2 linked regions of the Oryctolagus cuniculus genome follow. The protein of the gene in region 1 interacts with the protein of each later gene in a pairwise test. Links are inferred from orthologs where the notes say so. Each region holds a gene or a part of one and is shown on either strand. Other genes may lie near its edges.

Region 1 (7,366 bases):
AAGACACAGCAAGAGGGGAGCTCAAACTCAAAAGTATGAGAACCAGAGAGTGGCAAAAAGTATTACTATCTACCTATTAATGCTGATGATAAACTACATATTTTACAAAACTCTACAGTAACAAAAATACACACTGGATACGAGAGGTCTCTGTGCTTTGGCCATCAGAGTCAATGGCCCACTTCCCACTTTTACTCACCTTTTGGTATTCGAGGAACCTGCTGGCATGCAACCCAGACACTGTTACAGGATATAAGGTCATTGTTCTCAGGGCTAGAGAAAGAAATCAGTGAGGATATGTCAATAACCTAGGTTCCTCTTTCCTAAAAAGCTTCTTCCTACTGGTTATTATTCTCAGTTATCAGCAGACTTACTATTAACTGAGTTTCCTTCCCAGAGGCAAGGAACCCATTAACTGATAACCCAAACTGGGACATCACTACCTCTGGGCTGGAGTGGTGGAAAGTACTTCCATGAGCTGAGCCATGCCATCCACGATGTCCAGAGTGGCGCTTCGAACCAGCTTCCTCAGTGTGATTCCTATGGCCCAACCCAAAGAGTAAGCAGCTGGCCTTCTTCTCACAAGTTATCATCTGCTTTCCTAACTGTCAGCATTCCAGAACCACAAGGTAATGGGCACCACATGCTTTAACCAAAGTGCTAACACAAAATTTAGGTCTTATTTATACCTTATTTATACCGTGTTACAGTCTTGCCCCTCCCACTATCCTTTAGAGCCATTCTCTGTAAGAGATTTGGAATAGAATCTTCCCATGATAGCATGGACTCATTCATTACGACATAATTATGGCTGAAACACTGGAAGTTTAAACCATTTGTGAGTAACCACAAAGAACCATGACATGTATTCATCTATAACTTTGGCATCACTATAATCAAGCCATGATGCACAGGCAGGGCTGAAGGCCACTTAACGCATGAATGAGTCTAGAAATGGGGCTTGATGTGGTATGAGTGGAGAAGAGCAGCGATGGCCTGGGCCTGGAAATGGGGCTGAGACTCAGTCAGCATCTGTAGTGGTCAGAATGTGTTGGAGGAGGAGACAGCAAGAACCACAGGTGTTAAGAGTCAAGCAAAGCAGGGGAGATAAGTTCACTTCTTAGGTATCTTGTGTATCTTAGCACAATGGCTTGTTTTTAGAGGCCACTGACATTACAGAATTATCTTTACCTGTGTTTTATAGGGAACGCTACATGCTCAAGTTGGGGAAAGGGGACTATCTGAGGACATCATGCAACATATTAGCAAAGATCTAATGTAAAATCACAACATTCATGCCCACACAGTGGCTTACCCTGCTCCTTAGGAAGCGAAAAGTATACTGCAATAACTGCTGTGATGACAGCACACACTTGTTCACAGAAACCCTGGGTTTCCTGCAAGGTGAGGACCAATTCCATAATGGGAAAAAAAAAAAAAAGAAGAAGAAAATTAGATCAATGTGGTCAATTCATTTACCAAGGAAGAAAGCAGACAAGCATACAGCATCGTAAACGTCTTCTTATGAGTTGAGCCTTGAGCTATACTTAACCTATACCAGTGAGGAGTTAGCTGATCATCAGACAATGGGCAGACAATTTAATAAAGTATTAAGAAACAACAGGAAAAACTTACTCCTGATACTCTATATCCCCTAAGATATTCATGATCTGTTCTGAGATACTCACCATATCTTAGACCAGAAGGTGGCATGCTATGGTCCAGAGGCTAAATCAGGCTGGTTGCCAGTAAATAAATGTTACCAGGACACATCTATGTTCACTGGTTTACATATTGCTTATATTGTGTTGGCACTAGGAGAGTTGAGTAGTTGGCTTGCAAAGTCTAAAATATTTACTGAGTCTGTCTATCTATCTATTTATTTGAGTTTTACAGGGAGAGACAGAGGGAAAGAGGGATAGATCTTCCGTCTGCTGGTTCACTTCCCAAATGGCCACAATGGCCAGACCTGGCTGGTCTGTAGGCAGGAGCAAGCAGCTTACTCCAGGTGTCTCACATGGGTGGCAGAGGCCCAAACACTTCAGTCATCTGCTGCTGCTTTCCTAGGCATATTAGCAGGGAGCTGGATCAGAAGTGGGGCAGCCGAGTTTCCAACCGGTGCCCATATAGAATGCCAGCACTGCAGGAGGGAGCTTTACCCACTATGCTACAATACCAGCCCCTTTTACTGAGTCTTCACAGAAAAAAATTGCCAACCCCCAGCATTAGATCATTAACCAGCTCTCTCTTTTAGCAAAATTACAATCTTTAAGTGAACATAACTAGCATGTTTAGTGTTGACTGTTTTCCTTCTAAATGGTCACTGGCTCTCTCATCTTCCTTGTCCTCATTGGCTCGCACTGGTACCAGTTAGCAAACTGCTCCCAGTTTGGGATGAAGTAAGTGCAGTGACTGAGAATGTTTAGAGAGATGCAATTTGACATTGTTTCAACATCAAAGCACATAAAATTATAAAAGATATCAGTCCATTCAAGTCAACCATCTGTAGGAATGAAGTGTTGGGATTTTAGAAAGTGATTATCATTTAAATACACACACATTTGAACACATATATTTGTGAATATACATATATATATATAATAAAACCCAATTCTAATTTTTCACCCATCTATGAGCAAACTACAGTCCTTAGCAAGTACAGAAAAATATTTCTGTGCTGGCTCCTCACAGTACTTGCTGTGAGTTTTAGCAGTAAACCCCAATCATACCTGAAAGGAGTCAGCAGACAAGAAAATAAAGATCATATTAGTACTCCAGTTTCAAATGATATTATACAATTCAATTCTTGCTTACTCATCAAAATCTCTAAGGATGCAGAGAAAACAGAGTTTTTATTGTAGGTATATGTAGCAAAAAGATATTTATATCATTTCAAGACACCTGGATACACAGATCGAAAAGAGACCAAAACTACTATGAAAATCAAAGAAAGCAATGAATGTGTCATTTTGAAATAACCTCACGCCCAAATTAAGTATATATAGCTCTAGAAAAAATGGAGTCAGCAGCATAGGGCATACCTGTTCACAACCAATATGTTTATTTTCATCAGTCTTACAATAAAGGATTATTATCCATGTATACATTCTCTGTTCTAGCAATTTCACTTCTGGGATTTTTTTTCTACTGAGGTACACAGGCATACAAAGATTGTAGTATGCAATTCACGATTTATAATACTGACAAGATGGAAGAAGTTTAAATGTCCACAGAATATTGGTTAAATTATGGTAATATTCACTCTGTTGAATACCGTGCAGACACGACAAAGAATTGAGCAACTGTGTATGCGCATCAAGAACAGACACACTGATTTCCAAACTATGTTGCCAATTTTTAAAAAAAGAATGTCCAGAACAAAGTAGTATCATATTATTTGTATAAAAAGCAGCTCATTTACACATAAATGTATATACACATAGAATACACTATATAGGAAAAAAATGGAAAAGTAACCAGGAAGGGAGACAAAAATGAGGAATGGGGTGGTAAGAAACATTTTAGCACACTTATATTTGATATCTTTTGAATTTTATATTACTATAGTATGATTTAAAAGTTACTGATTAAATATAGAATGGAAAAGTACTAATATAAAAGGGTTTTATGTGGCACAGGAGTAGCTGAGACAACAGGTGGATTTAAATTCTAGCTCTATCACTTATGTGTGTTAACCTGAGCCTCTGAGCCTACTTACTCATCTGTCAGGGTGAAAACATCTAGCGAATAACCAGTGCTTTAAAAAGATATCAGAAAGGAAATAACCTAGGCCGGACTGCAAATTCAAAGTCAGAGGACCTGCCTATTCCGCGCCCCAAAGCGCACTTCACAACAATCCTGCGAGGTAAGAACTGTAATCCCGTCCGAGAAAAACACATTTCCTGGCCTGACTGTAAAAGGTAAAAAGAAAGTCCGAGGACTCCAAGAAAGGGCAGCCCACCTGTGGAGACGGCAGCGGAAGCCGAGAGAAGGCAGTGGTCAGAGTCGTGGCCTCCCTCGACACGTTCACAGCCGCCTCATCTGCGGGGTGGCAGAGGGGCAGGCAGAGCCAAAAGGTTAATAAGCGGAGCAGCTGCGTGCGTCCCCTCTCCGCCCGAGGCCTAGCAAAACACTTCTCAGAGTCAGTGGTTTACATGTCAACCTTTCTGGTGCCAGCGATGGGCAAAGTGGGGTATTCCCACAGAGAGGATGCGACTGGGGGACGGAGTCGCCTCCTACGGGCGGCCGGGAGGTTAAAGGACGGGGACGCTGACGAGGGTGAAAGATGGGGGCCCCGGCGCCAGGGGCACTCACTGAATCTTCTCCAGAACGTCTCCCGATTAAACTCCTCGACGGTGCCGCGGGCTTCGCCGACTTGTGGGTATGGCATGGGAGGGCCAGACGGTGGCGAAAGGAAAAGCTCAGGTAAGCGGAACCACGGCCTCGGCCAGGGGCTCCGCCTCCGGTCGCCGGCCAGCCTGGCCTCTCCCTCACCCCAAGAACGCACTTGCCATTCCGCCCCCCTGTGTCAGCTCACCCCGCACTCGAGGTAGGAGCAGTCGCAGCTCCACCGCCAAGTGCCGGAGCTGCTCCAAAGGCGGAACCAGGGTGGGCACTGCGGCCGCAGGTGCAGCTGCGCTCGCCATCGCAGTCGCTCGGGTGACCCCGGAGACCGAGGCAGCCGGAGGCGCTGCCAGAGACGCAGAGCAGCAGTCGTCCCACTAGGCTCGTTTCCGGCAACAAGCCGCTTGCCCCGCCCCTTCCGCCTCCCTGAGGCCACGCCCCCAGACCCGGCCAAGCCTTCCCCAAACAAGCACCACCCATTTCCAGAGGCTGGACAGCAAAGCAATGCTCACGTCCCGGGTCTTTTTCTTTTAAAGAAAATACTATGGTTTTTGTTGCTTTAAATTTTTATTTATTTATTTGAGGCTGACAGTGGGACAGAGAGGGACACAGTGGGAGCATGCTCCCATCCATTGATTCACTCCCCAAAACCCACAAGCCAGCAGCAGGGAACTCAATCGGGTCTTCCACATGGGTGGCAGGGGGCCTACCATTTGAGCCATCACTCCCTGACTCCCAGGGTGTGCATTATCAAGAAGCTGGACTCCAGAGGGGGCACAGCCAGGGCTGTTTCAACTGGTGCCTTAACCACTAGGCCAAATGCCTGCCCTCATGGTATTTATTCATTCATTAAGTCAATTAATTGAAAACACCCCCAATTAGGGCCAAAAGCTCATAACCCGGGGGCCAAACAGGACTGGGAACTAATATCTTAATGGTAGTCAGAGTTGGGCCAAAGTCCACAGTTTCCCTGCCCCTAACAGCACCCTTGACAGCTGCTGAGTTCCAGGCAGCGGTACTAGGTGCTTTACATGGGATAATCTTAAAAACACACGGGGCCTCAGATGCCCCCACTCACACACCCAGACCCTGCCCTGTGGAGCTCCTAGATTAGGATTTTCTCTTCACAAAGATAAATCAATCCTTTGCCTCCCCAGGGAAGGAAGGAATCAAGTCATTATTTAGAGACTTTTCTGCAGTCTGTTCTGTAGGAATCAATAGTGGATAATCCCTGCAACATCCAAGTGTCCAAAGAGCAGCAGCTCCCTGAGGCTCACACACCAGTGCTGGCCCTCCACCTGCTACTGGAGCGGGGGCCTGGCTACAGGTGCAGACGCTGGACTTCCAGCCAGCTGCCAGTGGCAAGACATGGCCCTCAGGAGCTCAGGTGGCTTTTAAAATGCACCATGAAGGTTCCAAATTCAGTGGAGTTCAGTTTCCACACATAACGAACGAGAAGAGGAGTCAGCAGTGACAACCAGGTCCGCAGAGGGGAGAATAAAAGAGCTAGAGTGCCGTGAGTCACGTGAAGACAGTAGCAGGAATAAAGCTGCCAGACGTACAGCAGGAACATAAGTAGGTGCACAGGTATGATTTTCAAGTGTTTTCCTTGATGGAGATGAGACCTGAAGTTGTGACCAAAGCACCGCTGCAGCAAGCTCCAACACAGGTAGGCCATCAAGGGGATGTTAAAGAACACCAGCTGGAGGGAGGAGAACACAACCATTAGCCGCCTTTGCAGGGCTCAAGTCCAAACACATTATTGCTGCTTCCTAAGAATCGGTGGCTTTCTGTCTTCGTTAGCTGTCTCACTAAGTGTCGGTCACATTCACTTACAACACAATAGCTGACTTGTGGCTAGTTGTGTATTTGCCTGTGTTCAGGTAAAGAATCAATTCATGTTGAGGCCTCAATCTGTACTACAGCATTCCATCCACAGTAGGTATCTAATAGTGTTTTACGTTGGAATTGAATAATTATATACACACAAACAGAATGGGGGGGGGGGAGGTGAGTATTAGTGCTTTTCTATTTTTTATTTATCTTTATTTTTTGAGGCAGCATAATGAATGCTGAAATATAGATTAGAAGATCTGAGTTATAATCCAACTTTAACTTATACGATTCACTTACTCAACAAGTACATACTGAGCACCTATTATGTAGCTAGACTCTAAGGACGAAGTGGTGAACAAGACAAAACAGATCCATCATAGCATTCTTTTTTTTTTTTTTTTTTTTTTTTTTTTGACAGGCAGAGTGGATAGTGAGAGACAGAAAGACAGGCTTTTGCTGTTGGTTCACCCTCCAATGGCCGCCACGGCTGGTGCGCTGCGGCCGGCGCACCACGCTGATCCGAAGGCAGGAGCCAGGTACTTATCCTGGTCTCCCATGGGGTGCAGGGCCCAAGCACTTGGGCCATCCTCCACTGCACTCCCTGGCCACAGCAGAGAGCTGGCCTGGAAGAGGGGCAACCGGGAAAGAATCCAGCGCCCTGACAGGGACTAGAACCCGGTGTGCTGGTGCTGCTAGGTGGAGGATTAGCCTATTGAGCCGCGGCGCTGGCCCTCATCATAGCATTCTAACAAGGAGACTAGAGACCCAAAGTACATAAAATCACAGACTCTGATATGTTCAATGAAGGAAACAAGTGGATCATGAGAAGGTAACTGGGAACTAGGTTGTGTGAGGCTGATGGATAGGAACGAGTCAACAGAGGGAAGCACATTCCAGGCATAAGGAACCAAAAAAGCCTGGAGGTGGGAGAAGTCTTGGCCTCTGTAAGGCAATGCTCCTAGAGCATGAAGAGCCAGGAAAAAATGGGACCAGTCAGCAGGACCCAGATCCAGTCACTGCTCCTAAAGGGTTTCACATTGAGACATGTGTGGAAAACTGCAGAAGGGGGCCAGTGCTGTGGCGCAGTGGGTTAACACCCTGGCCTGAAGCACCGGTGTCCCATATGGGTGCAGGTTCGAGACCCAGCTGCTCCACTTCCCATCAAGCTCTCTGCTATGGCCTAAGA
Region 2 (7,660 bases), on another chromosome or scaffold:
AATACAAGCCATACAGACCAGGAAGAGGGAAGTTAAACGGTCTCTGAAGATTGGCATACAGACTTCAAATGGGACTACCTACGTATTCACTAAATACTCCATAGCACCGTTAGTTACTAGTTTAGGTTACTGCCTTTATTAATAGATCATACGAATAGGTGTCATAAGACGCGTTTCTCTTTACGAAGTTAACAAATTCTACAGCTTTCCTCACTTAAGGTGAATTAACGACGCCTTTGTTTCAGTTCCATTTTCTTCTGAAAACTCTCTCACGCCCTCTGCTGTCCATGAACATTATTACACAAATCATTAAATAAAATACTGGAATCTTCCACCCGGTTCATTATTTGAGTCAGTCTCATGAAACAACGTATGCTAGGAAAGACTTACCAACTTTTTTTCTTATTATGATTTATGTTTGAAATTGAGCCCTTCTACAAGGCCTTTGATTCAGATGCTAGACACTATCAAGCCCTAATAACCCTCGGCTTCTCCATCTCCCTCCCTTAGCTCAGTTTCTTTCCTAAATCACCCTCTCACTAAGTTTAATTCACTGAATTGAGGAAGCTGTGCCATCAGCCCTACAGGGTCCCTGCTCACCAGACTCACAAGGCCACTTATTGCTCCTGCACAGAACAGCCTGTTGTTAGGCCTCGTCTTTGGGGGTTTTTCCAGAAGGAGCCCCAGTCTCTAAGCCCCAACCTGATTGACAGGAGCCCACTTTACCATTATCAAGAGTGCCAAAAGAACACAATGTCCTTGGCCAATCAAAGGAGGGCCAAGCACTGTAGACCAACCACAGCCCTGGACGTGAGCTAAACATGCACCTCCCAATCCCAGCTTCAGTCTGTAATAACTTTTACCCCCAGCCCCTCTGGGAGCCCAAGAGTTAAATGCTAGCTCCCAGGGTCCTTTCTCTGTGCCTTCCAACAAATACTCACTCTTTTTTACCACTCCAGCGTGATTGTCTTGGTGCCTGTCAGGCTGACTCAGGTTTTTTTTTTTTTTTTTTTTTAAGATTTATTTATTTGAAAGTCAGAGTTATAAGAGAGAGAAGGAGAGGCAGAGAGAGAGAGGTCTTCCATCCACTGGTTCACTCCCTATTTGGCCACAACGGCCAGAGCTACGTCGATCCGAAGCCAGGAGCCAGGAGCTTCCTCTGGGTCTCCCATGCAGATCAGGGGCCCAAGGACTTGGGCCATCTTCTATTGCTATCCCAGGTCATAGCAGAGAGCTGGATCAGAAGAGGAGCAGCTGGGACTAGAACAGGTACCCATATGGGATGCCAGTGCTTCAGGCCGGGGCTTTAACCCGCTGCACCACAGCGCCGGTCCCCAAAGTACAATTCTTAAATTGTTTCATACTAATCCAGATGTATACTAATTTATGTGCTACCATCTTATTTGAGAGCACTTCAGTTGATGCTTACTGACTATTAAAATAGTCCTATAGGGGCTGGTGCATTGCTGGCATCGCATATCGGGGCTGGTTTGAGTCCTGGCTGCTCCACTCCGGATCCAGCTCTCTGCTTGGCCTGGGAAAACAGTAGAAGATGGCCCAAATGCTTGGGTTCCTGCACGCACGTGGGAGACTCAGAAAAAGCCCCTGGCTCCTGGCTTCGGATTAGCCCAGCGCTGGTCATTGCAGCCATTTGGGGAGTGAACCAGTGGATGGAAGACCTCTCTCTCTGTAACTGTCTCTCAAATAAATAAATAAATCTTTAATAAATAAATAATATGAGATTCAACGAAGATTCCTGATTTCATACTTACATCCCGATAAGTGCAGTTGCTGGGCTCTGGATCACACATTTTCAAGGCTTTTCATGCCTATTGCTAAATTGCACTAACTCACACTTCCATCAGAAAGATATGCCTTTGACTACGGAAATCACTCTTTTACCTGAGTAGGTAAAAATATCTATAGATATTTATATAGATAAGGAAGAAAAGTTATATTTGAATCTCTAGGAGGTGAACTTTTTTCTTCAAAGGTGTCAGAAAAATATTTGTAGAAGGACTTTCTTGGGGCTGGCGCTGTGGAGTAGTAGGCTAAGTCTCCACCTGCAGTGCTAGCATCTCACATGGCTGCTCCACTTCTGATCCAGCTCTCTGCTTTGGCCTGGGAAAGCAGTAGAAGATGGCCCAAAGCCTTGGGCCCTGCACCCACGTGGGAGACCCTGAAGAAGCTCTTGGCTCCTGGCTTCGGACTGGCCCAGCTCTGACCATTGTAGCCATTTGGGGAGTGAACTAGCAGATGGAAGACCTTTTTGGCTGCCTCTCCCTCTCTCTGTCTGTAACTGTACTTCTCAAATAAATGAATAAAATCTTGTGTTTTTTTTTTTTTTTTAAAGAGAGACTTTTTGGTAGAGTCAGAAAATGGTCTACTTTTTTTTTCAAATTTATTTATTTATTTGAAAGCCAGAGTTACACAAATAGAGAAGGAGAGGCAGAGAGAGAGAGGTCTTCCATCTGCTGGTTCACTCCCCATTTGGCCACAATGGCTGGAGCTGTGCCGATCCAAAGCCGGGAGCCAGGAGCTTCTTCCTCGTCTCCCACATGGGTGCAGGGGCCCAAGCACTTGGGCCATCTTCCACTGCTTTCCCAGGCCACAGCAGAGAGCTGGACAGGAAGTAGAGCAGCCAGGATACGAACCAGTGCCCATATGGGATGTCGGCACTGCAGATGGCAGCTTTTTACCTGCTCCGCCACAGTGCCAGCCCTGGGGTCGACTCTTCTAATCTCCTAATCTTAACGTTTCAAATCTGTTTCCTCACCTGTTATGTAAGAAGAATAAACAATGGGCCTGCTCAGCAGGAAGCACTTCTGAGGACACAGTGAGAGGAAGCACAGGAACACGTTCTGAAAACTATAATGTCAGACACACAGAAGACACACTGTTCATTAGTCACTACGGACAGGTGGACAGACGTGATACTCATTTGACTTGCCTTAAGTTTTAATCACTTTTTAGTGTTTCACATCAATCTTAATGTCAATCATTCTCTCCATTTCCATTCCATTTTTATTTAGCATTATATACTTGAAAATAGTAAAATCATGATTACACCCGATGACAATGATGGTTCAGTTGCCAATTTCATTAATTTAGTTTGTCTTGGAAAAAGAAAAATTACCACATACGCCGAATTATTAAGGGTTTTATATTTAATCTAAATATACTTAGCGATCATACAGCACAGATAGCTTGAAAGATTAGTCTGAACAATTATGATGACATGAAACACAGAGCCAAGGACTGAATCGGTATTCATTCAGTGGGCCCTTGCTGAACCTAAAAGATTGCACCCATCACGAGGTTTCACCAAGAGGAGGAGGAGGAAAAAGAGGAGAAGTAGGCTGTGGCCTTGACCAAGAAGGACTAACAGAACATAAAAGAAGCAAAGATAACTCGAGAAGATTTTAAAACAGTAATGGCTAGCAATGAAGCTATGACATGGAATTTGAGGACTTTAGTACACTGTTTATCGATGCATCTCGCTGGAATTCTAGGCTGTGCACCTGGCGGAGGGATTAACCTTTTAAAGCCTTCGGTTTCAGCACTTGGATTTTATCAAACGTCACTGTTGGCTGTTGTCTTGGCCAAAGAATTTGGAGAATAAGTTGTAGGATGAGGTAGGGGCACAGAAAGAGATAGACCAGGCAGAAAAGGAGGAAATTAAATTATTTGCTTCTTCATTATTTTTACTGCCCATAGGATAATACAATATAAGAATTTTCAAATTTGAAAACTGAACAGCGGGCCCGGAAGACACAGATAAACCAGGGGTAGAGCCAGGGAGGGACACAATCCGAGCCCCAGAGCCCAAGACTGCACCATGTGCATTTTTTTAAAACACATTTTCACCCTAAGATTGAGGACCACTTGCAGTCAGCCAGATCCGTGCTGCTCCCAGGGTTCTGCTGTGTCAGATTTTTCTTGGTAACTTGGAATCACTGCTATCCTCCAAACAAAAACAAAGTACTCTACACTGCAGTTTTGTAGACCGTGCGCCAAGTTCCCATCCGTTCTCTCCCTAGACCTGCTCACAAATCCTTCGGGATGTATTCTCGTCCGCACAAAGGGCTCAAAGGGCTCCTAAAGCCTTGGAGGTCACACACAGCCAAGGGAGTTCCTTCCAGAAAAGCACCAGCCTGGCTCTTTATTCTCTTGCCAAGTAATTCTCCACCGCTAGGGGACTCCTACTTTGTTCTAATCTTTAAAGGGCGGTTTCTTACCCCTTCCCTCGGTCTTGATCCTTATTTAGGCGCCAAGCTTTCCTTTCGGGTTTTGACCTCCTGAGTTTCACGCCAAAACTCCACCTATACAAACAAGTAGCGTCCTCGGTATCCAAGGTAACCACACAGCCTTCCCAACCTTGCCTCTTCCGCTTTTTCCATTGGCTATTTGGATTTTTATGCAAATGATTCGCCTTTCCAGTGGCCAATGGACTAGAAGCAACGGGCGCGCCTCTCCCAGCCGAGTCTTCCTGTCCTTTCGCCTCTGCGCGTTGCCTCCTGGGATTTGTAGTTTTCTCTTCGCCATAACCCTTTGACGTCTGGCTCCTTGAGAACTACTTGTCCCGTCGGCCTTGGCGAAAGGGGCGGGGGTACGCCGGGAGTTCCGGTCAGAGTTGACACTGAGTTTTGAAATTCCAACATGCCGCTTCAGTTTTGCGGCTGAGGTTTCAAAGTCGCGCAGCCAAGCGAGCCAGTTTGCGCGACTGCTTCAGCGAAACCATCTCAGACGTCTTCTCTTGGACGAGAGGCGGCCCAGCGGCCAAGTCGATTGGCCGTGACAAGTGTGACTGAGGCGTTCTGAGAGAGCGCGAGGGGGACGCGCCATGTCCGCCGTCTGCTTGCGCCACCTGCCGCTGTACGGGCTCCGAGCGTGGGCAGGAGGCGGTGGGCTCTGGGCTTGGGCGAGCCAGGCCAGGCCTTACTGCTCAGGTGGGAGCCCGCGCCGGCCTCTGAAGGAGTGGACGCTGCTGGTGAGCCCGTTCGGTCGGCTGCGGGCGCGGCTCCCTTGCCACCTGGCCGTGAGGCCCCTGGACCCCCTGGTCTACCCGGATGGGGACCGCGTGCTGGTGGCCGTGTGCGGCGCGGAGGGCGGCGCGCAGGGCCTGGCCGGGCTGCGGGTCAAGTACGACGAGGCCCTGGAGGAGCTGGCCATCGTGGCCGACACCCTCGACCCCGGGGCGTCGGTGGAAGTGAACGTGCCCCTCAAGTTCGGCAAGTGAATTGAAGTGGAAGCGGCTTTGGGGCCCCGGGCGCGCAGGGCGAACTTCTTCCAAGGGGCCAGCATGCATTTTTCATCGGCTCCCTTGTACCTGACTTCCTAACCTAATCCGCAGACCACTCCTTCTGTTCCACTCTGAGTTTCCCAGTAGTGTTTAAGAATTAGGCTCCCACTTAGAAAATTTTATACGTTGAATGGAAACATGATTTGGAGTAGTAGAAATCAAATACATTTGTGGCGCCTGTTTTTGGTCACTAGCAGACTGGGTTGTTTTTCAAGGTTGGGGTTCTATCACGCGGCACCCCTTTCCCCTTGCTCACAGCTTGGGGTTTGTCCCCGACAACTCTGTCTAGTGGATGTGTCCTGTATTGCCTGGACCACATACTTGGTTTCAGATAGGCACCCCGCTTGCTGATAACGTCTCCCTAGTTTTTAGCCTAAGTGAGCTCTTAATGAGTAGCAATGGAAGTCTGCCCAGGAAGCTTTAGAAACGGCGATAAGGCCTATCAGATGTTTTGGTTTCCAGCGCCCAGCCGCTGTGTACACACGGCCCGGAAGCACTCCCAAGCTGCCGTTCTTCCTGAGCCTGGTGGATACTGATGATCCTCCCAACAGCATTCAGCATCTCTCAGATAATCATGTCCAGTCCTTACAGTTGCACTGTAAAGCATATGCTGTTACTGTCACCGTTCCACATAAGGAAACTGAGATGTAGGAAGTCACATTAAAGAAGAATTTATTGTGGATGAACAAATAGAAAAAAAAAACAAACCATGGCTTCATGGAACTTAGACCCCAGTGGGGATTGGTCGGCAAACATTACTACTGTCTTTTAGATAGAAAGTGGCAGGGCTGCAGTTTGAACTGGCTGGAGGCTGCTCAACCACAATGTTTGATTGCTTATTCTTTTAACCAGCTTAGATGAATGCCATTCCCTGCCCTCAAAGTTTAGCAGTCTGGGCTGGGGAGGAAGATTCACCAGTAGTACACAGTAACTGAGTACTGAGTTGGAGATAAGTAAAATTTGTGACAGCATAGATGAAAATGGAATATTTCCAAAATGGGAATAATTCCAAGCCTCATTCTTGATTGCCCCCTCTTTTTAGGGCCAGAACCCCACTTCTAATTTACTGTTTCTCTGTGTCTATTCCACTGGCCCTCTGATCAACGTAACTATTTTCTTCATACTTCCAGTTTGTCTATTGCCTGTTTCAGTGAATGGGTAAGAGTGGCATTACTGCCTCTCAGTGTCCAGCCTCAACTTTCTACTTGCCTAGGGAGGATACACTATCTTTAGAATCTGTTTCCATCTCAACATATCTGTTGGTGCTCCCTTAGAGCAAACCGTCTGTTGTTTAACACTACTTAGCTGAGTAATGCATTTTATAGTTTTAGTTGCATCCATGATTATGTGGGGCAAAATTGTCTTTTCATATGCTATAGCTGAATCTCAACCCAAATACTGCTGTTAATGAGGCATTATAGAAACTGCCAAGTACAAACTGGAAGTTGATTAAATTGGTAGCCAATCACAGTTTTTTTTTTTTTTTTTGACAGGCAGAGTGGACAGTGAGAGAGAGAGACAGAGAGAGAAAGGTCTTCCTTTTGCCGTTGGTTCACCCTCCAATGGCCGCCGCTGCAGCCGGGCGCACCGCGCTGATCCGATGGCAGGAGCCAGGAGCCAGGTGCTTTTCCTGGTCTCCCATGGGGTGCAGGGCCCAAGCACCTGGGCCATCCTCCACTGCACTCCCTGGCCATAGCAGAGAGCTGGCCTGGAAGAGGGGCAACCGGGACAGAATCCGGCGCCCCGACCGGGACTAGAACCCGGTGTGCCGGCGCCGCAAGGTGGAGGATTAGCCTATTGAGCCACGGCGCCGGCCCAATCACAGTTTTGACCAGTGCTCTTTTTATTTTTTTTTTCAAATTTTCTGCCAACACCACAATTTTGTGGTTTTAATACTATGTAATTTGAGGTTTCTTGAAGTTGTTGGTATTTTCTTTACGTCAAATACCTTGTGATATAGGTATATTGTAATATTCTTGCTTTTTTTTTTTTTTTTTTTGGACAGGCAGAGTTAGTGAGAGAGAGAGAGAGAGAGAGAGAAAGGTCTTCCTTTTTCCATTGGTTCATCCCCCAAGTGGCTGCTACAGCTGGCGTGTTGCGGCCGGCGCACTGCGCCGATCCGAAGCCAGGAGCCAGGTGCTTCCTCCTGGTCTCCCATTCAGGTGCAGGGCCCAAGCACTTGGGCCATCCTCCACTGCCTTCCCGGGCCACAGCAGAGAGCTGGACTGGAAGAGGAGCAACCAGGACAGAATCTGGCGCCCCGACTGGGACTAGAATCCCGGGGTGCCAGCGCCGCAGGTGGAAGATTAGCCTAGTGAGCTGCGGCGCTGGCCTATTCTCGCTTTTTAGGTATGAAAG

Evidence for each region.
Region 2: the proteins of CCNDBP1 (region 1) and CCDC146 interact in binary tests that used the Homo sapiens proteins (3 or more experiments, as listed by UniProt). The two-hybrid records come from large-scale screens. The link is inferred for Oryctolagus cuniculus from reciprocal best matches to the Homo sapiens genes CCNDBP1 and CCDC146.

What each region holds. Positions count from the first base shown.
Region 1 is NC_091443.1:66,133,470-66,140,835, reverse strand, and holds the start of CCNDBP1 (cyclin-D1-binding protein 1), read right to left. Parts: upstream 4,793-7,366; 5' UTR 4,647-4,792; coding exon 4,538-4,646; intron 4,375-4,537; coding exon 4,315-4,374; intron 4,042-4,314; coding exon 3,962-4,041; intron 1,398-3,961; coding exon 1,316-1,397; intron 541-1,315; coding exon 444-540; intron 274-443; coding exon 200-273; intron 1-199. Other genes in the region: TMEM62 (transmembrane protein 62), read right to left, coding at 5,720-6,046. UniProt on the Homo sapiens protein: May negatively regulate cell cycle progression. May act at least in part via inhibition of the cyclin-D1/CDK4 complex, thereby preventing phosphorylation of RB1 and blocking E2F-dependent transcription.
Region 2 is NC_091434.1:141,552,993-141,560,652, reverse strand, and holds the start of CCDC146 (coiled-coil domain-containing protein 146), read right to left. Parts: upstream 4,500-7,660; 5' UTR 4,239-4,499; intron 1-4,238. Other genes in the region: protein FAM185A, read left to right, coding at 4,844-5,231. UniProt on the Homo sapiens protein: Essential for sperm flagellum biogenesis and male fertility.